3 linked regions of the Drosophila melanogaster genome follow. The protein of the gene in region 3 interacts with the protein of the main gene of each other region in a pairwise test. Each region holds a gene or a part of one and is shown on either strand. Other genes may lie near its edges.

Region 1 (7,690 bases), on a different chromosome or scaffold from region 3:
ACGGCCAGCGCCACTGCCACTGCCACTGCAGTGACCCACTCAACTGACGGATAAGCCAAGCCATCCGGGTCTGGGTCAGAGAAAGGGAGAAGATGACCAGATACCTGACAGCGTTCACTTTTGCCACCGACAGATGCCAACTGTCATTGGCCATCAACATCATCAATCGATGGGGGTCAAAGAACTCCTCCCGGCTTTCCATGGTGTCTCTGCCGCTTTTTCTCTCTTTCTGTGCGGACGTGAGATCGAGATTGAAATGAAGATCGATTCGAGATAGGAAGACAGGAAGGCACCGCCACTGGGTAATGGTACTGGCACTGGCACTGGCACTGGAACTGGCACTGTCACTGGCGCTGGTACTGGGAAAGAGAGTGTGCTATTTTCATATGCGCACGCCGTTGCCACTGATAACCCAATATCCCAGTTAAATTTGGAACCAAAAGCCGTAAAAGTCGAGGCGGGGGAATTTGAATGCGCGCCGAAAGAGAGAGCCAATAAGTCAGTTAAGTTATGCATAAATCCGAAATCCAGCGGCGTGGGCGTCCGCCATTCAGTCGCCCAGTCAGTCAGTCACTCAATACTCACTCGTACTTTCAATTGGAACTGCCATTGCCGTTGTCATTGCCCCGCCCCTTTACGCAGTGCCATATAAAAGCGTCGACGCAACATGGCCGGCGTTTCTTTTACCCCAACAATGCCGAGAAGTGCGCTCATCGTTCCCGGTCTGATTTGTTTTTGGTCTGCCCTGGCCTTGGCCCTGTCCGCCACCTTGGAGGCGAGTACCCCGGCCACGCGAAAGGCGCTTCTTCGCGCACGACCCGCGGTGCCGCCCGCTGCCAGGTGGGGCGCCAATATGCAGATGCTGCGCCGGCACAACAGTAGGTACCCAACATCATATCAGACGCTAGTAGTCGATGCACTCAACCATTGGCACTTGCAGGTCCTGCCTTCAACTTCTGGACGGAGGACAGCGATACGAACATATGGGAGCATTGCGGCCTCTTCGAGGGCGACATCATGCTGCACCGCGAGCTGCTGAGGAACGGGCTGCTGAACGAGCGGCTCACCTGGCCAGAGGCCGCCGTGCCCTTCTACATAGACCCGCAAGACTTCAGTGAGTTAAGGCCTGCAAGCAGTCCAAAGTAGTAAAACACCCTTTCCAAACAGACGCCAACCAGACCATGGTCATACTGAAGGCCTTCAAGGAGTACCACGACCGCACCTGCATACGTTTCCGGCCGTACGAACAGGGCGACAAGCACTGGCTGCTCATCAAGGGCAACTACTCCGGCTGCTGGTCGAGCGTCGGCCGGCGTTCGGGTGGCCAGGTGCTCAACCTGAACACACCCAAGTGCGTCACACACGGCGTGGTGGTGCACGAGCTGCTGCACGCGCTCGGCTTCTACCACCAGCAGAGCGCCACGGAGCGGGATGAGTACGTCAAGATCAACTGGGAGAACATCCTCGACGGGCACGCGCACAACTTCAACAAGTACGCCCGCACCCACATCACCAACTTCGGGGTGGAGTACGACTACCAGAGCGTCATGCACTACAGCTCGCGGGCCTTCAGCAAGAACGGGAAAGCCACCATAGAGCCATTGGTGAGTAGGCCAACCCAAATGGTTACCAGTTATTCATGTAATTGAGTATTATTTTAAATCGCTTACACTGTAAAGGAGTTCAGTTTAACATTCAATAGTAATACTGCGAATTAATGGACTATTGTATGGACATACAGTAAATTCGCTTATCTTAACAATTACTACACCTAAATGTTATATTTCGATATACAAACTATAATGCTATCAATCTATTTTGCACAAACCACACTTGAATATGTGCATTCAAAAACACCTATCAATTAACTTAGATTCCATTAGGAATGCCAAAAACCGTGGCTCATAAAATATTTAAATTCGATAGTGATAGTGATTTGATCATATTCAGATTAGGAATTCCTATATTAACACATGGTCCAATGACGTGCAACTATGCTAGGAATAGACGAAGCATTTTGCTTCCTTGTCCAGTTGGAACTATATCAAATGAGAATTCTTTAGCTGAATGGTTGACTACACCTTAGCAGTTTTAGTTGAAGCGATGAGATGTTTGTAATGACTTGGGGGAGCTTGCATCGTCTACACTCTCTGACTCCTGTCCTTTGCTTCCAGGATCCGTACGCCTCGCTGGGCCAGAGACGCGGCCTCTCCGACAAGGATGTGTCCAAGCTAAACGAGATGTACGAACAGGACTGCAGCGAGGACTACCTGCTCAACTTCGACCGCTTCGGGAACTACATCGACGAACTGCTCGACTACTTCCAGGGCAACATTCAGGATCTGCTCGGATAAAAACGCCTGAGGCCAATAAAAGAAAGTGCCGGCTAGGTGACGAAAAAAGTGAAGTGACTGATCTCGTCGAGGGTCTGGGCGGCCTCCCCACGGAGTGCCGGGTACGAGTGGTGCTCAGAGAGTTGTTGCAGCGCAAATCGCAGCTCTCCATTCCATATGCGCTGCACGCCGCGCAGGCTGAAGCGGGCCAGCAGGCGCAGCAGCTGACAGGAACGTTGCCGCAACAGGTGGTGTCGGCTCTGCAGGAGCGAGACGAAGTTTAGCCGCGGATTAAAGACAATCCGTTCTACAAGCTCCGCGTTTTCGGGCAGCTCGCGCAGCACACAGCCCATCAGGGCCAACATGCACCCAGCCAGGCGAACAGAGGCGGCGTCTGAATCCGATTGCCTGAAGTCTACGGGAGAACGGGAACGGGCTAACAGTTTACAGGAGTCAGCTCATACCATCTAAGGGTAATCTTACCGTGCGTGAGGAAGTTGAGGAACAGATCGCTTGCTGCCAGAATGGCAACCGCATCGCAGAACTGCGTTAGGAACTGCTGCTGCAGGTGTACCAAGTGGCAGACCAGTTCGTACAGACTGCAAGCCGTCTCCAGCTCCTCGACAGTTAGCTCCGGAATGCTACGCAACGTTCGACTGAGCGAACCCGTGGTGAGTGGGGCGGAGGCAGCCGAGTCCGAGAGTTGTTTGTGCGACAGGAGCAGCTTGCAGGCGTACATGAGATTGGGCACCAGTTTTACGTCCACGTACACGTTGCGGATGAGCTCGAGGTCAACAATCAAAACAGGATCCACCAGCACAAAGGGCAACGACAGCAACTGGGCCACACTCTTGAGTACCCGTGGAATGGCCTTGGAGTTGCGCAGCGGTGCCACAATAATGCTCACCAGGTTGTGCTGTTTCAATGAGTCCAGTTCGCCGTCAAGCAGCTCCTGCACCGATCTGTTCAAGAAGGCTAGCCACTCATCGTTCTCGATGGGCGGACTTTGGGATTCATCGCAGCTATCCCACCCCGGGAGCAGGCACGGCGGAGTGTTGCTGTTATTGAAAGGGGAAAGTTAGTAAAAGAAATTCTATGAGGCGCAGTGGCCACTTACTCGCTGCTCAGCTTTTCCTCATTGGTGGAATGCATTGAGTGTTTAAGTTGTTGTGGCTGTTGCTGCGGGGGCTGAGAATTTGCGTAGGAAATTGCTTCAGCGGGAGGCTTGTTTTCCTGGTTATGCTTTTCCTGTGTAGCAATCTCCGTGGCCTTGCGTTGCGCCTCATGGTCGACGCTGTGACCCAAGCGAACAGAGAAGTTATCCAGATTCTGACTAAGCTTACGCTTCTCTAGATCCTTGCTGCGCGACTGGCGTACGGTTGGAGCGACTATTGGCTTAGCGGCCACGCCTCCGCCCCGCAAGGAAGCCTGAAAGTCGAAGTTGTCGTTCATATGATTGAGGATCATATTGGAGTTGCCACTGACGAAGCAAGTGTGCGAGTTGATCACCGGCTGGTGTACCATCGGCATTGCCCGAACACCAGACAGATCCCTGTAGGACAAGTCCGCGAAGGGAACGACCACACGTTGCATATTGTCCTCCACATCGGTCTCAAGATGCTCAACATCGCTGGGAGCAATGGCGTTTATGCTGTCGCGGGAGGTGGTCAAGTTTTCCTGTCGCGACTCGCCAAAGTCCAAAGCGGCCAGGGCCTCGTCCAGATCGCCTACCTCCGGATCGGACTGTTTTGACGACTTAACCTTGGCTTCGGGATTTGTGAAAGGCGATTCCTTGGCCGCCTCCGCCTGCGTTTCTGCGATAAAGATGCGTCCCTCAACGAAGGGGTGACACAACAGCTGCGTCCAGGATATGCGCAGACCGGGGTCCTTCTCAAGCAGGCCCTGTAGGAAGGAGCGGCACTCGCTAGTCAGCGTGCTCGGCCACTTGACGTCCTCGTGCTTGATCATCTTCACCAGATGCAGGATGGAGCTGGCACAGAAGGGCGGCTGACCGGCCATGCTTTCGTAGGCTATGCAGCCCAGTGACCACATGTCCGCATGATGGTCGTACGGCTGCTCCGCCAGCAGCTCCGGGGCCATGTAGAGGGGCGTTCCCTTGATCGAGGTGAGCACGTGGGTACCCAGGGTCATGTTGCGGGCCAGTCCAAAGTCGCAGAGTTTCGCGTGCATGTTCTTGTCGAGCAGCACGTTTTGCGGTTTGAGATCCCGGTGGAGGATGCGGTTTGAATGCAGGTAGTACAGAGCGGACACCAGATGCCCGGTCACCCGACGTGCCGGCTCCTCGCCCATGGCTCCATTGTAGGACAGGTAGCGGTGCAGGTCCATCAGCGCGAACTCAGTGACCACGAAAAGGTCCGTCTTCGACTCGAAGGACTCGATCATCTCGATGACGTGCGGATGCTTCAGCCGGGCCTGAATGTCGCACTCCCTGCGCAAATTCTTCAGCTCTTTCGTGGCTCTTCCGCGCTGCAGAACATGAATATGGTGTGAACTAGTTGTATGGACTTGTTGCTTTATCACCTGGCCCGCCCCACTCACCTTGGAGATCACTTTGATGGCCACCACCTTGCTGTCGTCCTTGCGTGTCGCCTTGTATACGCACCCGAAGGATCCTTGCCCCACCATCGAGCTTACCGCGTAGCGGTTCATGGTTATTCTTTGTTTTGCTGCGGATTGGGATGTGATTACCACTGAAGTGCGTGCGGTATGACCGTAGCAGGTTGACTCCGAGGTGGGAACTCGGCTTCGGTACGTAGGTATATGAAAATACTAGATTGCTCATACAGGGTTCCTTTTCTGATAAATGACGCTTTTGCTGGACAGCAATTGTACCTAAAAATCTATATAGACCAGATCATGATACAATCCAAGACAAATACAAGACTAGTTTGCGCTTTTATCTGTGGCAGTAGGTATTAGTATTATCTGCGAATAAACATTTATTAAGTGATAAAAGTTGGAACGAACTTTAACTTATATATTATTATATATTATAAATATTTATATGTATATATTTCTTAATGTACAAATTTTTACTTAATAAGTGCAATAAATGATATGCAATATAAATAATTAAAAATTCCAAAAGTGCAGTAGATAATATAACTAATTATAGGTATGTACCTATATATCGTAATGTACCTAAAATTCAGTGTGACCAAACCAACACAAATGACCCTTTTGACAGCAACTCGGTACGGTCACCCTAGACAAGCACGGCCGAAGAACAGCTGATTGCTGGCTGGTTTTTATTGTGCGGAGCCAGGAATAATCGTTGTGAAATAAATAATGATTGCCAATTTGAACACAGCCACCCAGTGAGACGACACCCACAATCGCAGCACGATGCGCGAGCCCAACCTGTACGTGATCCTGTCGCACGCGCTGATCGGTGAGTTTCCGCCAACCGGCAGACACTTCTGCCACGCCTCTTCCGCTTCCAGGCGGCAGTCTAATTGAGTTGGGGATTCCCACTGCCATTGACCACACTCCCAATTCCAATCCGCATCCCAGGCTGCGGCTTCTTCTTCCTATACGTGCAGCATGTGCGCGTGATCTTCGAGACGCGCACCAACATCCAGCAGCTCAATCAGCTGGAGCGGGAGGCGCTTCTGCGGCGCGAGGATGCCCTGTACTATGCCTTCTACAAGCAGCTGGCCGAAGGGCCGGACTTTTGGCACGGCTACGAGCAGCTGAAGAACGTCACGGACATCGAGTATCCGCACAGTGTCAATGTGCTGCAGCGATTCTACGTGCTGCCGGAGCTGGTCACGGCGTAAGTGACTGCCAGAGGAGTGATGCCCAAAAAGTCCACTAATGCAGATGCACTTTCGCTCCCCAAAGGTACTTCTTTCACGTAGTGCGCTCCGGCTTCAATCCAATGGTGCAACCGATGCAGTTCTATCTGGAGTTCGTGTGGCTGATGGGCGGGGTAACCCTGCTGGTACTCTACCTGTACGGAACGCTGCTCAGCGAGAACATTTTCGGTGGCATATACGGCGTAATCTCGTACCTGATGTTCCACAGCTTCGTGGCCAAGATCTATGAGCGGCCGCTGGCGCGGGAGAACTTCGCCTTTCCGTTCATTTTCCTGCAGATGTTTTATCTGTGTATCTGCATCGGAAGGATCATACACCGACAGCGGCACACATCTCGCATGTTCATGGTAATAGGTGTGCTTTATTGCATTAAGCTCAGTAACATCTTTGCCCTTCGAAGATCTTCGCCATGTCGCTTTTCACCGCCTGCGCCCTACTCTCCTGGCAGTTCTCCACCTTCATCTTCACCACCCAGATCCTGATCATGATGACGTCCTGGAACGCGAGCGCGCTGCCCACGGCTCTGGTCAACGCCTTCGTGCTGGACTACTCGCTGTCGCACCTGCTGGGCCACGCTCTCGCCTTTGTAATGTCGCACGGCAACAGCCAGCTGCTTCTCACCTGGCAGCTGAGCATCTCGCTGTTCCTATTTTTGATTACAATGGTGCGACAGTTGCGTCACGTGCGCAGCCGGCGACTGGGACACGCGCAGGATCTGCTGAACGGCGACTTATTCTCGTTGAAGTTCCTCATGCTCACACTGCTGCTCGCCAGCAGCGTGCAGACCACGCTGATAGAGCTCTTCAATCGGGCTGGCGTGGTCAGTGTGACGGAAGGCGACCAGCAGCACTTCTTCGACATATGTGCCCACTGGGCTCTGCAGGTCAATGTCGGCTTTGTCGCCCACCTTTCCGCCTGCAATCCGCAGTACGCGCGCGTCGCCTGGTCAGAATTGTGGCAGCTGGTCAAGACGATGATTGTTAAGCCGTACTGCATGTACGGCGTGGTCATGCTGGCCATGTTCTTCCGGCGCTGGCGCAAGAGCGGCGCCCCAGTAAGTGCCCTCACCGAAGAGCAGCGCGAGAGAGCGCGCAAATACGTGCTGGAAGACTTCATAGAGGAGCACTTCGTTTCCATGAGCGACATGTCTAGCAAGGAGACGGAGAAACAGCTGTATAAGTGCTTCCGCCTGCTCAAAAGCTGCGACTACGACTACGAGCGCTACAAGCGCGCACAGGCCAGCCTGCGTAAGGAGCAGCCGCCCGCCCGCGACGACTTTATGCAGGATATCAAGCGGCTGCGAGCGCAAATTAACCGCAACAGCGTCAAGCAGCGCAAGGAGCGGGCGCAGGAAACCAAAGAAGCGGCCACCGACGGGGCCAGCACGCCGACTGAGGAGGAGGATAAGGATCCGGAAGCAGAATCGGAATCGAAGAAGAAGAATCAGGAGCCAGGTAGTGGCGAAACGGAGACCGAGTCTGCAGCAGATCCCACTGAAACGCCGCCGTCCAGGTCCGC
Region 2 (5,316 bases), 4.0 Mb from region 3:
CTAATCCTGCTTCTTTTGTGCAGCTGTCTTTTTGATCGCTGGCGCAGCCTGGGGACCTTCGATGGCTCCATTGGCTGTCTTGCCCTCCAGCTTCTGGGCGGCATGCTGCTGCTCCATCTCCCCGGAGAAGCCGAACTCATTCACGCGCTTCAAATCGACGCGATACTGCCAGCGCTGGTAGAGGAACACAAAGAAGATGATGTCGTCGCGGAAGCAACCCAACCGGTACATTGTGGGCATTTTGATCACAAACGCAAAGATGTCATCGATAAAGGTGTTGAGGAACTTGTAGGTCATCATGCGCCACGGCATGTGGGCCACCGACTTTAGCTTGTAGTTGATGAATAGCTGCGGCGTCATCAGGATGAAGCCAAAGGTCAGCAGATAGCCGTACAGCATGTTGAGCACAAATGAGTACCAGCCCTTGTGCTCGTTGTAGATCAACGAGTAGACAAAGTAGGCCACCAGGAGCGGGAAGCATGCCCAGCCCAGGTACTTGAAGGCCAGTTTGTCATAGTCTTTGGTCGAGCTCTCCGAATAGGAGCCCTTGTCCTGGAAACTGATTCTCGGCAGCACTCCCAGAATCTTTTGATCGTGATCGTAGTTGATATCCACGACCTTGTGAATCTTCCACACCTCGATTCCCAGTCCCACGAAACAGGAGATGCGAATCATGAAGTTGGTCTCGTTGTCCAGCACGTACAGCAGGATGATTAGTGACTGGAAGACACCGAAGAACACCGATCGTACAGACAGTCCTTCGAGCGACTTGCGATTGTTCCAGAACTGAATGTCGTTCTTGAAGGCCAGCAGTTCGAACACCGAATGCAGTATGGAAACGGCCACTGTGATGCCCAGCAGGTAGATATTGGTGTCCAGCAGAGTCTCCTTCAGCGAGTCCTGATCCTCGTCACTCTCCTCCGGCTGGCTGGCGGCCATCAGCTCACCGAGCATATTGCCAGCCCACTTGTTCTTCATCTGTTTGGCGGCATACAGCTGCCACTTGAACATGCCCAGCGGCTGGAAAGTGAGGTGCAGCTCCAGTTCGGGAGTGGTCTCATTAATGGGTTGATACTCCCGCTGAAGATTCCAGTAGTCGTTGACGAACAGGATGGGCAGATAGGTCTTACCGCCGTCTACGAACTTTACGTAGTCATCCAGTGGCGGCGGCACAGATCCCTCGGCCCAGTTAGTTTGGTCCACTACGAGATTGACCGTGAGATTAGGATGCCAGTGAGACACGATGGTATCCTTGAGATTCGCATGCTTGAGCTCGTGCTCCAACTTCTCCTTCTCGCTGGCCAGCAAGTTGTAGTTGCGGTTCACACGCAACTTCTTGAACTTGTTCAGCTGATGTTGCTGGTGGCCCATTTTGGTGGCGTAATTCGGGGCTTTGGGATCGGGACTCATGCCGGTACGCGTGACAAAGGCATGTAGGTACACACTGCCATTGTTCATCAGATGCTGGCTGGTCTTAAGCTTCAAACTGTGCGTGTAAATGCCATCTCCGTTGACGCCCGACGTCCAATCGCCATAGGTGAGGTCCTTCTGTAGCCAGAGGAGATTCGCCTTTTGCTGGAAGTTAACCACATCGGGATTCTCCGACAACCACACGTGCAGGTCAAAGTCCGTGCCGTTCTCGAAGTAATTCCAGGCCGTGATCTTGGGACCCGCATTAGCGACACTTTTGCCTTGACTGGCGGCATCGGGCGCAGGTCGTCGGAAAAAGGAGCTCACAAAGTAGATGATCAGGGCACGCAGGATGAGGGACTTGGTCATCGCAAAGAAGGACTCCATGCGGGTGGGCTGATTCGGCGGGGGTTGTTGTTGCTCATTCTGGCCTTCATTTTGGGCCAGCTCAGCGTTACCATTGCCCGCAATCACCTAGAAAAAACGATGAGAACCAGGTCGCTATTGTCAGGTGATTGGGGTTGAGAAAGGTTTAAGTTTCTCAGATACTTACCGCACCCTCTGCTGCGGGCTGATCTTCGCCTGCTTTCGACATGCTCTGTTCTCAAGGGTTTTCCACGCTTTTCCCTTAGTTTCCCGTTTTCCGCACAACTTGTGCTACTGTCATCGATAGGTAAGTGTTGAGGACCTATCGAGCCATTAGAACTTCGATATCGAAAGGGGTATTTTTCAGAATCTATCGATTTGACGCAGAATGGAAAAGCACGGTGTTCTCACTATAAAGACATACTTTTTTCACTAAGTCAAATACAAATTTATTTATTATATGTGACATATTTAGCAATACACATTTTTAGAATATCGTTGGCTTAAATGTATATCCCTTACTTACTTATACTTACTTACTTACTTATACTTATACAACCTAGTATTCAATTATTGTTCTTAGTAAAATGGACAGCAACTTGAATATTTTTGTATAAATTCAAAAGGTTTAATATCTGAAAAAATATTTCATAAATTCATTAAAAATATAATTTAAATCGATTAGGCGGTTTTTCAATAAAAAAAAATATGCGTAATATGTAATATTTGAACCTTATCTAAAATATAATTCTATATACAAGTTTTGATTTCAATTTATTTGTATACAATGCAAATAGCATTTTCATGCCATAATAATATAATTTTGAATTAGCTTAGCTATCAGTGAGGTAGCGTTGGGCTATAAAAAAACACGAAAAACTATATGTTGATATTGTAAAGTTGGTCTCGGTTCAAATGGTAAAGATATTTTGCATTAATTAATTTGAGTGTCTGAATATTTTTTACAGTTCCATTTAGAATGTTTTGGTATTTAAAAAATAGTATTTTGGTATATTTGCAGTGCTCGGCGGCGGCCACACTCTCTTTTCCCTTTTTCTTTTGAATAGCATTTGGTTGCACGTTTCCTCTGGTGAGTTTCCATTAAATATATTAAAAATAAACGAAAAATCGCAATAACGTGGCAGAATGTAAACATATTGTTGTTTAGTGACGTATTTGTGATATGAAAAAGATGGACACTGGTGCTTGTCGACCGGTGGAGCTGTTTCTGTCGAACGAAACATGCCAGCAAGTCGGACCTAACCTCCAATCTTTGCCCGCTCTTTGGGACGCACAAGTTCGCTAAGAAATCGTACGATTTGGTACTGATTTATGTTTTATATTGCTTTCAGTGACGCCGCCATTATGCAGATCTTCGTGAAAACCCTCACCGGCAAGACCATCACCTTGGAGGTGGAGCCTTCTGACACCATCGAGAATGTCAAGGCTAAGATCCAGGATAAGGAGGGCATTCCCCCAGATCAGCAGCGTCTGATCTTCGCCGGCAAGCAGCTGGAGGATGGCCGCACTCTGTCCGACTACAACATTCAGAAGGAGTCCACCCTGCACTTGGTGCTCCGCCTGCGTGGTGGTATCATTGAGCCCTCGCTCAGGATTCTGGCCCAGAAGTACAACTGCGACAAGATGATCTGCCGCAAGTGCTACGCCCGTCTGCATCCTCGTGCCACCAACTGCCGCAAGAAGAAGTGCGGACACACCAACAACCTGCGCCCCAAGAAGAAGTTGAAGTAGACTATGATCATCCGTCGACGGTCCAGGCTGGTCTTTCTATCGACAAAACCATGGTTAACCATCTAAGTAAATATATGTACATTTTGTGAAACCACATCTAATCGAAATGTATTGCATTTGCTGCCAAGGCACAGCCTATTTACACCGTGTATGTTTCTGTTTTCCTGTCATCTGTTTTCGTTTGTGGTCTCCGAAGAACGAGTTTCTGCGGTTTTAGGAAGCTCTTATACTGCAATTAGTTGGCCTCTCCGAGATCTCAGTTAGTTTTTCTGCTCTGTTTCTGGTTCTGTCTCGCCACCAGGAAGCGGGCGACAGCAGCAGGTAATTGATATTCCATCTGCCAGCGATACCAGACCCTTGCGGTCTACTCTTCTGCCCAAGGGAAACAAGGGGACTGGCTGGCTAGTACGCCGCGGATGGTCGAGCAGACCTACTTGGCCAAGCTAAGCCAAGTCCACTTCGAGTACAGTTAATTGGTTTCATTGACCGCCGACTAAGGCGCGCAACGGCTTCCGTGGCCAACTGGTAAACTGGTTGTTGGCGCTCTAATCCATGCTAGCACTTGGTCGTTGGCCCCGCGGAGGCTCTTATTATGAATATCTTAATAACCCAAGAACTGGCTGGTGACGACCCAAAGGGCCTGCCTGATAGGCAGGACATGATAACAAGCGGGAAACCGAGAAGAGCAGCTGCTGCCGGAGGACCAGGCACAAATTGCGGTCAACATTAATTAAAAATACGTTTTTGGGTGACCCGCGCAGATTTCCCAGGCGCAGAATGGGTGGCTGGATTGGAGGAGGGGACGCGACTGATGAAATTGCGGATCAAGCACAATGAAAAAAAGTTAAGGGCCGTCGCCCGCAGGAAAGTCCCAGCAAAAGGTAAGTGGAAAAGCAACCTGAGCTGCCCAGAGGTGAGGATTGCAGTGGCTCGAAAAAAACCTATGATAGTTGATAGTACAGTGGTACCTAGAAATACTTGCTTATAGTTGCTTATAGTATAGTTTTATACCATATAAGTAAAAAAAGTGTATGACACATTTTTTTTAAAGAATTGAATAAGATATAAGATTTACTATAATAACTATATCCATTCAGTTCCGAATTATCAATAGACCACTGTGGCCACGTTCTCGTCCAATATACAAAGGTGTTATATGGGCCAGCCGAGGGTCGGGTATTTTAAAAATTAAGGCTCTGCCTTTCGGAGCTGCAGGAAAAGCGGCTGCTTATTTATGGGTCCCGGGTCCTCAGCCTTGGAGGCCACGGGCTTGAAAATGCCCAAACAGGTTCCAGCCTCCACTGGTCCGTTTCAGCAACCAAGTGCGTGGCTTTCGTTTTTAATTTTTGCAGCCCGTCCAAGTTTGGGTCTCTGTCTTTTGGGCGCCGCCTTTGCCATTCTTGGGAGCAGGACTTTTATGGCCGGATGGGTCGCAGTTTACATAACAGATGTGACCAGAATAATTAAGAGTGCGATTCGAGTGGTGGCCCAAGTGTCCTCATCTGGGAAGTCTCCGCTGGTCAGTCATTTGGCTTGACACTCTTAACGCTCTGGGCGTTGCTCCTGGCCAGCATTAATATTGCAGGGCAGGCACTGCCTCATCCAGCGAGGAGCAGCCTTGGCGCCGCCCATCGCACCATCCAAGCACCACCCACCCATCTACTTTGCAGCGAAAAGTGCTCATTGAAAATTGAACGTTTTCCCGAGTCTCCCCATGCGACTTGCTCGTTTCCATATGCCGGGCGGGGATTGGGTGAGTTATGAGCACCGCTTATGCCACAAAGTCAA
Region 3 (8,948 bases):
AGATCAGAGAAACGTCAAGTGGCGCTATCATATCGATTTGGCTTTAAAAAGCTAGTTCTAGCTTAAAAACGCCTCCTTGCTGGAATGAAACTCGACGTGTGTTGCGCCCTAATCAGCTGTTGGCTAGCTTTATTTGTTTTGTTTTGCTCAGCGTGCGGTGCCCTTTGCACCTTTTCTGGAGGAAATGGGCAAGAGCAAGAAGCAGGTGCGCGAGTTCAACGCCGCCAAGGAAGCTGTCGAGGCCACTAAAGCCCAGTTGAACACTTGCAACGATGCCTATACGAGCGGTGCCTTCAAATACCTGAGATTCCTGGTCCATCTCCTGGCGGCAGCGCAGTTTTCGTATGGGATATACTTTCACTACTTCCGGGTGCATTGGCCCACGGATTTGCTAGACGAGGATGAACTGAAGGCGCGGTGGGGCGGCAAGTTCAAGTACCTTACCTTCTTGGACGTCATTCTACAGGCCATCTACCACTCATTGGCTCTGCTGAACGATCTCTTCGGCGATAACAATGTCTCCGGGGATTCAAAATCCATGTTGCGATCGGTGAGGGACTATGTGTTCGCCGCCTTTGCCTTTCCTGTCGCCCACAATGTCTGCCTCTCGTTTTGGGTCATCTACGTGTGGGACCGTGAGCTCATCTTTCCCTCAGCGCTGGATGCGATTTTCCCCAGGCAAGTGTTTATGTTTTTCCGCCGGTTTAACTTGCGTACAATGCACAATGTTAGTCTGCTGGAGTCTCTTTTGTTTCGAGCCTGTCTAAACTTTCTGTTCATCAGGCGAGGCGAGTTTTGATTTACCTGTGTTTCTCAATATTTGCAGCTGGTTGAATCACGTGGTACACACGAATGTGGCCCTTTTGGCCATTATGGACCTGTTTACCTGCTTCCGCCGCTATCCGAGTCGATTGGCAGGCATCACGGGCAACGTCTCCTTCATCCTGCTTTACATCATCTGGCTGCACATTGTTCGCTACTTCAGTGGCGAGTGGGTGTATCCCATTCTGGAAGTGCTGCCCGCATACCTGCGCTACGTGTTCTTGGCACTACTTGTGGGGTTCAACCTGGTTTGCTATCTGCTCGGGGAGTTCGCCAACAACGTCGTTTGGGGTCCGGAGTTTAAGCTCCTAAATCAACAGAAATTAAAGCAAGGCTAGGACTCGAGGATTTAAAATCGTTTATTAGTTACACAAATTATTATGTATAATTTTGTAAACTTGAAGGCACTTTCTGAGGTACGATTTGTGTGCCCAAGAGGCTTATTTATATCGTACTTAAATCTATAATCTACAATCTAAAGTCCTGTACCCACGGCAAAGAAAAATAATGAAAATAAATTATTATCCTCTTTGGCATTTACTTTGGCGTGAGTACCAGGATTAAGGAAACAGTCATTCACAAACGTACACAGAGATTCGAATGCTTACAAGCTAGATGGGGTGATGAATCTGTAAAATAAAGTTGCAGCCTAATGACTATGAGTATTCGTAATTCGTAGTTCTAGTTTCGCTCAGTCTGTTCCAGTAATCGATTAAGAAGAATCTAAATGTTCATCGCATGTAAACTGCTCTGGCTTGTGTACTACAATTTCGTATTTGTTTGTTTTAAATATCATTTGGGTTTCCAATTCTAGTGAAGCGATATATTCTTATAAATCGTTGAACAGTGAACATAACAATATTACGATTTCGTAAAATAGATAAGATTGTACGATTATTTTCAGCGCTAACAATTTGATTTCTTAGAACAAAAACTACAATATTGTAAGAGTTTTTGAACCTTAAGTAAATGCATCAATTGCTTATTTAGTCTTGCTATTTTGAAGGCAGCAATAACATTTTGAGTTTGTCCGACTCGCTCATAAACGTGGGCTCCCTTTGATGCCGATGGGAATGACCCAACAAGCCCTGCAGCTCCGTTCCTCCGAAATCCTCATTGGCTGCTTCAGTTCTTTGTCTGCTGGCTGCGTTTAGGAGTCGCATGGCCTGCTGCAGTTCGTCTTCTCCGTAACTGGGAACTAGCTCGAAAGGATTAGCCTGTATGCCCACATCGCAGCTGGTTTTGCTGTTTCTACTATGTGGTTTGCCCATGGATATTCCAGAAAAAGAGCTGTTAAGAAGGCTTCCTACGTCCAAAGCCACATCCAGCTCTTCAGAGGAGCAGCTAAGTGAGTCATTAGACCGATACTTTACACAGTCCTTCCTGAAATCTAGATCAGCAGCAGGGTTCTTGAGATGTCTCTTTTGGGACTTTTTTGACTGACTTCTTGCGGAATTTCGGGAATGTCGGTTAGAATTGGATTCATTAGATTTTTTTATGTTTTTAAGAAAGTTCTCCAATGCCACCTGTTTGCTATTTGGCAGTTCTTCAATCTTTATTCCGTCGTGATCATCCTCACTTATTTCCTGCTGCTTTACAACCACGTTAAGATCCTGAATCTTTTGGGATGCTCTGGAATTATCCTCCTCCGAACTAGAGCTCATATCTTGATTTTGGAGGAATGGGAATATAAAATCGCCATTTTTCTGCAGGAATTCATTAAGAATAGAGGGATCCAATCCGGCATTAGCAGTCCTTCGCTTCATGGAGCTGGTGTAATTGTGTTGTTTCTTGGAGCTGTGATGAGCAAACACGCCCACTTTGTGACTAGCATTGGGATAGGTCGTTTTCTTGAGCGCGATGACCTGCGACTCCACTGAAGTACTGCTTTCCCTTCTCCTACTGCTTTTTCCAGTGGCAGCTGCTATATAATCCCTTCTCCTTTGGGTTCTTCTGTTGCTGGAAGAGCCTCCGTGTTTTCCCCTTGATCTGGACGCCACTTTGGTCTTCATTTCAGCTATTTTCACTGATACCTGCGAGTCCACCGAATTTCTGCGGGATTCAACGGAAACATGTCGAACACTCACACTTATCTCGGAATCCAATGAATTTTTTCGCGGTCCATGGCTTGACGAGTTACCTGTCGCTGCTCCCGTCAAAGCCATGCGACGTTTTACGCACTGCGGGAGGTATGCAGCCCAAGTTGATGAGATGTCATTCGTCTCAGAAGAGTTCAGATCGTTCACATCGAAGTTGAGCCCCACGGGATCTGTGTGGGTGTTGTAGAGCGTTATGGAGAGCCTGCCCTTGTCCTCGAAATCCTTGCGCTTGGCCCATGTCTGGGCAATGACCTTGTGCTTCGGCATTTTCACTTCTTCGACCACCTCTTTGCCACACTTTCTGCAAAGGTTATAAAATCGATAGTACAGATAACTTTAATGCAACTTTTGGTAGGATGGTAAAACATACTTCCTTATATAACGCTTCCAAGTCTCAATTGAAGAAGGTGTCCAGCACCAGGTGGACATTACGATTCCAGAGCTAAATAGACACAGCAAATGCAATTGAAGAACGCCAACACTAGGTCGGTTTTCAATTCGACAGGAACTCTTTTCTTCAAAAACTGAAGAAATTTTGCAGCTAAACAAAAGAATTATCTAGTTGAGGCGTATGGAAAAAGTTATAAACGAGTATTTACACTTACATTATAAACTGTCTGAAGCTCTGGGCCCATTCGTCTGCATGCCTAAACTCCGTAACGTGGCACGCAATGGCCACTAGTATGAAAACTAAAGTGAGCAGAGCACAGACTCCCATGCGCATGATGATCAAATGGATTTTGTTGCTCGCCGAAGTTGATTTAATGTCATTAGCGAAGTGTTTCAGTCCAAAAAGCATCACCATGCCGCGGGTGATGAAGTATCCACCAATGAGGATGACCCCGCAGAGCGGACCAAGAAGTAGTCCTGCCCTCATAGAATGATTGATATAGCCTACGAAGCAGATGCCCACAATACTATTTCCATCCACCTCACTGAAAGCCATCGTGGTAATGGTAAGCACAAGGGGTAGTGACCACGCCACGAGGTGAAAGTAGGAACCTTTCTTATCTATCCGATCTTGGACGTGGCCCATGGCCCTCCAATGCCAGGCGTAGGTGAGGAACACAAACCAAACCATTCCAGCGGTGAGAAAATAATAGACCAGCACAAAGATCACTATGCAAGAAAGATTTTCACCGGCTGTAGGCTCTGAGTGGCGAAGTGTTCCATCCTTACGACATACTATGTCCTCTCGCGAGCCAGAAGTAAACTGAAGCAACCAGCTGCATAGTAAATACGTGGTTGATTAAGAATACAAATGCAAAATAGTGCTCAAAACTTACCCGACGCAAGCAATTAGAAAGCAAAGATTTATGTAGAACACAATTACTGCCGGATACTTGTTGGCATTCTTCCAGTCGATGAAGAAGGTGGACACCACGAAAAGGTTAGACAGAAGACATATGCTGCCAGCCCATCCGATCAGTTTGTGGATCTGCCGATGCTCATCATCGGTATAGAGTGGATCCTTGCATCGCACGCCGCAGCCCTCGATGCCAGGATAATAGCTGGCTGACGTATCTGTCGGAACCAAAGGACTTAAACACTGGCCAGTTCCGTTGAATTTCATTCCTCGTGCTCCGTTTGTGCATTTCGTCGGAAAGAGTGTTTCGTTGCAGCGAAGGAATTTTGGGAAAAACGTCGTGTTGTACAAAATGCGACAGGGTTCCATGGTAATTCGGCACATCTCGTAAGATGGCAGGTAGACCATGTCCTCGCCGTTGATTTTTTCACACTTCGGCTTAAAGACGGCGCACAAAAAGGGCTATAAACATGTAAAAATGGGTGTGTTGAGCTAATCCGGAATATTGAAGAAATGGATTTGAAATACTATAATATCTACAGAAAACCTTGAGCCACAACTGAATATGTATATATATCTGAATCTTCCCAAGATAAAGCAATTCACATATTACTTTCACTGCTTGAACACAAAGCGTAATTAAGTAATCACAGTTGTGCGCTTAACTTGTTTCTAATGCACCTCCTTATCAGAAAATAATGCGACAATCTGTATTTTCATACAGACTCGGCCCCACCTTTTGAAATCATTAGGTACATTAGATGTTATTAAGATTCCTCACCTGTATAGCTGCCCAACATTTGGGCACGTGCTTCAGGGCATAGTAGTCGTTCAGCTTATCGTTCAGCTCCTTTTCGGTGTGGAAGTCGGTGAGATCTAGGCTGCTCAGCTCATAGGGCAATTTTGAGCCGAAACAGGTGTTGGTTGCGTTCGAGGTGGGGTAGCAACGGGCACGTCGGACACACTGGATGTGCCTGCTGTCTAGGCCATCAAACCAGGGTTTGTCGTCCCTGCCCTTCTTGGCGTACAGTCGGTAATTGAGAGTCCCATTGATGGGCTCCAGTTCCACATCCGACTGCTGCGCACTTGCGGGCGTTGTGCTGCCGAACTTGGCCGAACTGGCCGATGCGTCTGCGACCACCCACAGGCATAAGATCGCAACCTCCAGGAACATCCTGCGGTTTGTAAATAACCAAGTTATTTTAATTGCCCACACCATTTGCCAGAGGCGAGTCACTCACATAATGTTTGGCATGCGCGGAAAGTTTAAGTACTGCATCCGCTTATAAAAATCATTAAATAGCTGCCTTGTGTGAATTTTAATGGGCTGAATGCCCGTTTCTTGCTCAGCGGTTCGTCAGTGCATCGTGAAGGCGCTTTCGTTGGACTCGGGATATCCTGGTTTAATTGTTCCCTTTGAAGGATTGCAGTGTTTTTAAAAAAGAGAAAAAAAAAACAAGAACCAAGGAGGAAAACAAAAATAAACGCGACTCAACGTGAAGCTGAAGCAACAAATGTGCGACCATTCAGGGCCAGTTTAAATATACCCATGTTATCGGTCAGCGAGATTTGCATGTTATCGGTCGGCATCGGTTATTATCGGTCATAGCTGCAACAAGTCGAATGATATGCAAACAAATCGGATTTATTTTGTTCGATCGTAACATAAGATAACATCAACATAAAATAAGAAATATGATCATATGTAGAAATGCATCAGCAAACGAAAAAGGTGTTCCCCGCAACATTTTGACTATATGGCAATGCTGGCCGCTGGCTTATTTATTTATGCCATGCGCTCGACGGTCACACTGGGTGCGGAGTATCGATAACACCGCGATAGTAGCGCACCAAGCATCGATGTAGTTTTTACATCCCTATTCTGCAATATTATTTCACGGCACGGTCCAAAAACACGGATAACAGGGCTTGGTTGGAGTCGCGCAAACGCAAATAGAAGCCATGGACGTTGCCCCCGCACCGCCCGCCAGTTCCGGCGGCGATCATAGCACCCAGCAGGCGCCGATCAGTCCGAATCAAAATGCAAACCAAGCGCCGGTCGCACTCGCAAAGGCAACAACAATCGAAAATGGTGTACAAACAGGAGGAGCGAAAAAGCCAGAGAGCTGCGGTGAGAAAGCCCCCGGTTAGCAAACTTGCTCGAAGCTAGTCTAGTTTCCTGGTTAACGTTTACCTTTTAGCCGTAGAGCCGACACATTCCACTGATGCTAGCCAGAAGGACGACGACGAGGGCAAGCCGAAGACCGAGCTGGCTGACAAAGTATTGATTACCATATGCAGCGCCGATCGCAAGATCAAGAAGACCTTCATGTCGTTGCCCACTCGAAAGGATGTAATCGACAAAGGTAAGGAACGTCCGACGAATTGGGTATCTATTCATCCAGTATTCCGAATGAACGTTGCCCAGTTGGAAGTTATTAACCAGTAGACAGTCTTTAATAAGAATCTATTGGGTTTAAGCTTAGAGCATTTCTGCATTTAAAAATATAAATTTGATCAATGGGTGATATATTTATCTAGGATAGAAATTAAATAATTGTACATATTTTATTTAATTTATATCAATAATATATTTGTATTCGGTAGCTCACAAATACGGCCTGTGCGGCAACACAATTGTCCTGGAGAGCAACGGCTGCGAGATCTGCGAGGACGACGTGCTCTTGTTCGCTGCCAAGGAGAAGATTCTGTTGATGCTCCTCGCCGAGTCGGAGGAGTATGTGGTGCTTCCTCCGCCATCGCCCCTCAACCGATCCGAACGCGCCGGCAGCTCGGTGGATCCCAGCTTCTATGCCAACAACAGTATTGTGTCGAACCCGAACGATTCGACGGTCTCTAATGACGAAACCATGTCACTGTCCAGCGTAACGCCATCAAGTGCAAAGAGTTCTGCTCTATTCAAGGAGTTCTCGATACCCTGGAGCAAGGTGCCTGGGGACATAATGAAACTACTAAAGGGAAAGGGGAGTTTGGGCAAGCGGTTGAATACACTTGCGAATGTTTTGGTGGAGGCTCTCCGTGAAATATCCGCCCACATTCCCATACGGATTTTCCGGCAGGTCGCCCAACAGGCGGCTGAAAAGTACCCCGACTCCTTACTCGAAAAAGACCGCGAGGGACAGTTTATAGCCACCACTCCGCAATCGCTCATATCCAAGATGATCAACCGTAACAATGCCCTAAACAAACCCCAGAAACGCGGCAGCTCGGGAACCTTTGAGATCCACATCCCTAATAAAAAACGAAAATTCGGAGGTGGTGCTTCCAATGGTGATGCAAAATCGCTGGCTCTTAACAGGGATCTGGAGCACAAAAAGGAGTTACTAATCTCCAGCTACCGAGGCAGTTCCCCACTGGAACAGTCCGTCATAATCGAATATATGAAAGAGTGCTTTCCGTTGCAGCGCTCCTTTTTTAATAACAGCGAAAAGATCCCAGATATAACGGCCATTAAGGACAATTGGCCATATATTTTTGACAAGGCTGTGCTGTACCAGCACTTTGAGCTGCTTATGTCCATCGATCCCCGGGCTCTAGAGAAGCGCTTGGCTACCGAAAAGGATCGCTTTTTCAGGTTCTTTAAGAGTTCAAAGAACAAGAAGATCAGCTCTTTGGACGAGACCAACGCTAATTTCCTGCGTGGCATAGCGTACTATTTTAATGAGGATCCCGACTACATTTTCAAGCACCTCGAGAACAGTTCCCTTAGCAAGGAATCACTGCAAAGCACGAATCCCACAAACGCCCCCTGGGTGGCTCTAGTCAGTAAGTACACAAAAATTAATATCACTAAAAGTGTTTAAATACTTTTAAAATATTTATCTTCCCACAGATTCACCCATAACAACGGCCGACGGCGTGGAATCGCAAATGGAGGCGAAGGTCTACATTGAAGGCCAGATAATGGCCACATTCGCCGCCAAAGACGAAGACCTGCCGGACATTCTGGCCCAGTTAATCTGCTACTACTATACCTTTAACATGATGTACCCTAAGGAAGCCAATCAAACACTCGAATTTATCGTCGTTTACTTTCTGCAGCACTCGCCGGAACAAGTGCGATCGGCCAAAAAGTCTGTGACCACCAACGGCAAGTTTAACCACCTCATCGCCAAGCTTGCCAATGTACATGGCTGAGATTTCATTTGGACGATTTTTGGCTGGAACCATGGCGCAGCGAGCGCCACTTCAATCTCCTCTTGCTCCTCCCAACGGAGGAGGAGCCGAACTCTGTTTAGTTTATTTATTTTCGCCGACCTATTCCACATGTATTTGTACCACTATTTTTAAGATTTGCATAAAGTGTGTAGTAATGTTGTGTATACATTTCTGATTTGTCACCCGACAAAGAATCTTTTATTTATTTTTTAATTGAAACTTCATGTTTTGCCAGTTGGGGTTGTGAAGTCACCTAAGGGAAAATAAGCTAAACTTATTCATTATGTGGCCCTTTCTGAAACGGATTTCTCCTATTTGGTCCCTTCTTTCGATAAGGATGTGCATTATCTCGCATTTTCTGAAAGGGATGGCTACCCTTTGCTTCTTTCGCATTTGATGATTTCACATTTCGACGTGTATGATTCGAACGTTCTAATTCGAACTTGTCCTTTGTCAGCTGTCTATATTTCAAGTCCTTTAGGGCAGATTTAAGTGTTGCATTCTTTTTCGTTAAATTGAAACCCAAAGTGAGTTGCTTTCGG

Evidence for each region.
Region 1: the proteins of smo (region 3) and fu interact in a two-hybrid assay, tested with the Drosophila melanogaster proteins (2 studies listed by BioGRID, with this or other methods).
Region 2: the proteins of smo (region 3) and RpL40 interact in binary tests that used the Drosophila melanogaster proteins (3 or more experiments, as listed by UniProt).

What each region holds. Positions count from the first base shown.
Region 1 is NC_004354.4:18,655,153-18,662,842, reverse strand, and holds fu (fused), read right to left. Parts: upstream 5,089-7,690; 5' UTR 5,004-5,088; coding exon 4,893-5,003; intron 4,821-4,892; coding exon 3,451-4,820; intron 3,392-3,450; coding exon 2,817-3,391; intron 2,749-2,816; coding exon 2,387-2,748; 3' UTR 2,355-2,386; coding exon of another isoform or gene 2,175-2,354; 3' UTR 1,639-2,174; downstream 1-1,638. Other genes in the region: CG6696 (uncharacterized protein), read left to right, coding at 695-878, 941-1,114, 1,168-1,604, 2,175-2,354; CG6659 (uncharacterized protein), read left to right, coding at 5,700-5,745, 5,868-6,129, 6,198-6,519, 6,573-7,690. UniProt on the Drosophila melanogaster protein: Probable serine/threonine-protein kinase; maternally required for correct patterning in the posterior part of each embryonic metamere. May be involved in control of cell division during metamorphosis and ovarian development. May interact with costal-2.
Region 2 is NT_033779.5:4,224,884-4,230,199, forward strand, and holds RpL40 (ribosomal protein L40), read left to right. Parts: upstream 1-2,815; 5' UTR 2,816-2,924; intron 2,925-3,128; 5' UTR 3,129-3,141; coding exon 3,142-3,528; 3' UTR 3,529-3,678; downstream 3,679-5,316. Other genes in the region: CG3702 (uncharacterized protein), read right to left, coding at 1-1,884, 1,964-2,005.
Region 3 is NT_033779.5:274,384-283,331, reverse strand, and holds smo (smoothened), read right to left. Parts: upstream 5,751-8,948; 5' UTR 5,507-5,750; coding exon 5,469-5,506; exon of another isoform or gene 5,403-5,468; coding exon 5,009-5,402; intron 4,690-5,008; coding exon 4,208-4,689; intron 4,148-4,207; coding exon 3,527-4,147; intron 3,463-3,526; coding exon 3,292-3,462; intron 3,223-3,291; coding exon 1,818-3,222; 3' UTR 1,165-1,817; downstream 1-1,164. Other genes in the region: CG11601 (uncharacterized protein), read left to right, coding at 185-678, 827-1,160; CG17078 (uncharacterized protein), read left to right, coding at 6,190-6,373, 6,429-6,593, 6,835-8,013, 8,081-8,385; CG11555 (uncharacterized protein), read right to left, coding at 8,681-8,948. UniProt on the Drosophila melanogaster protein: Segment polarity protein required for correct patterning of every segment. G protein-coupled receptor which associates with the patched protein (ptc) to transduce the hedgehog (hh) signal through the activation of an inhibitory G-protein.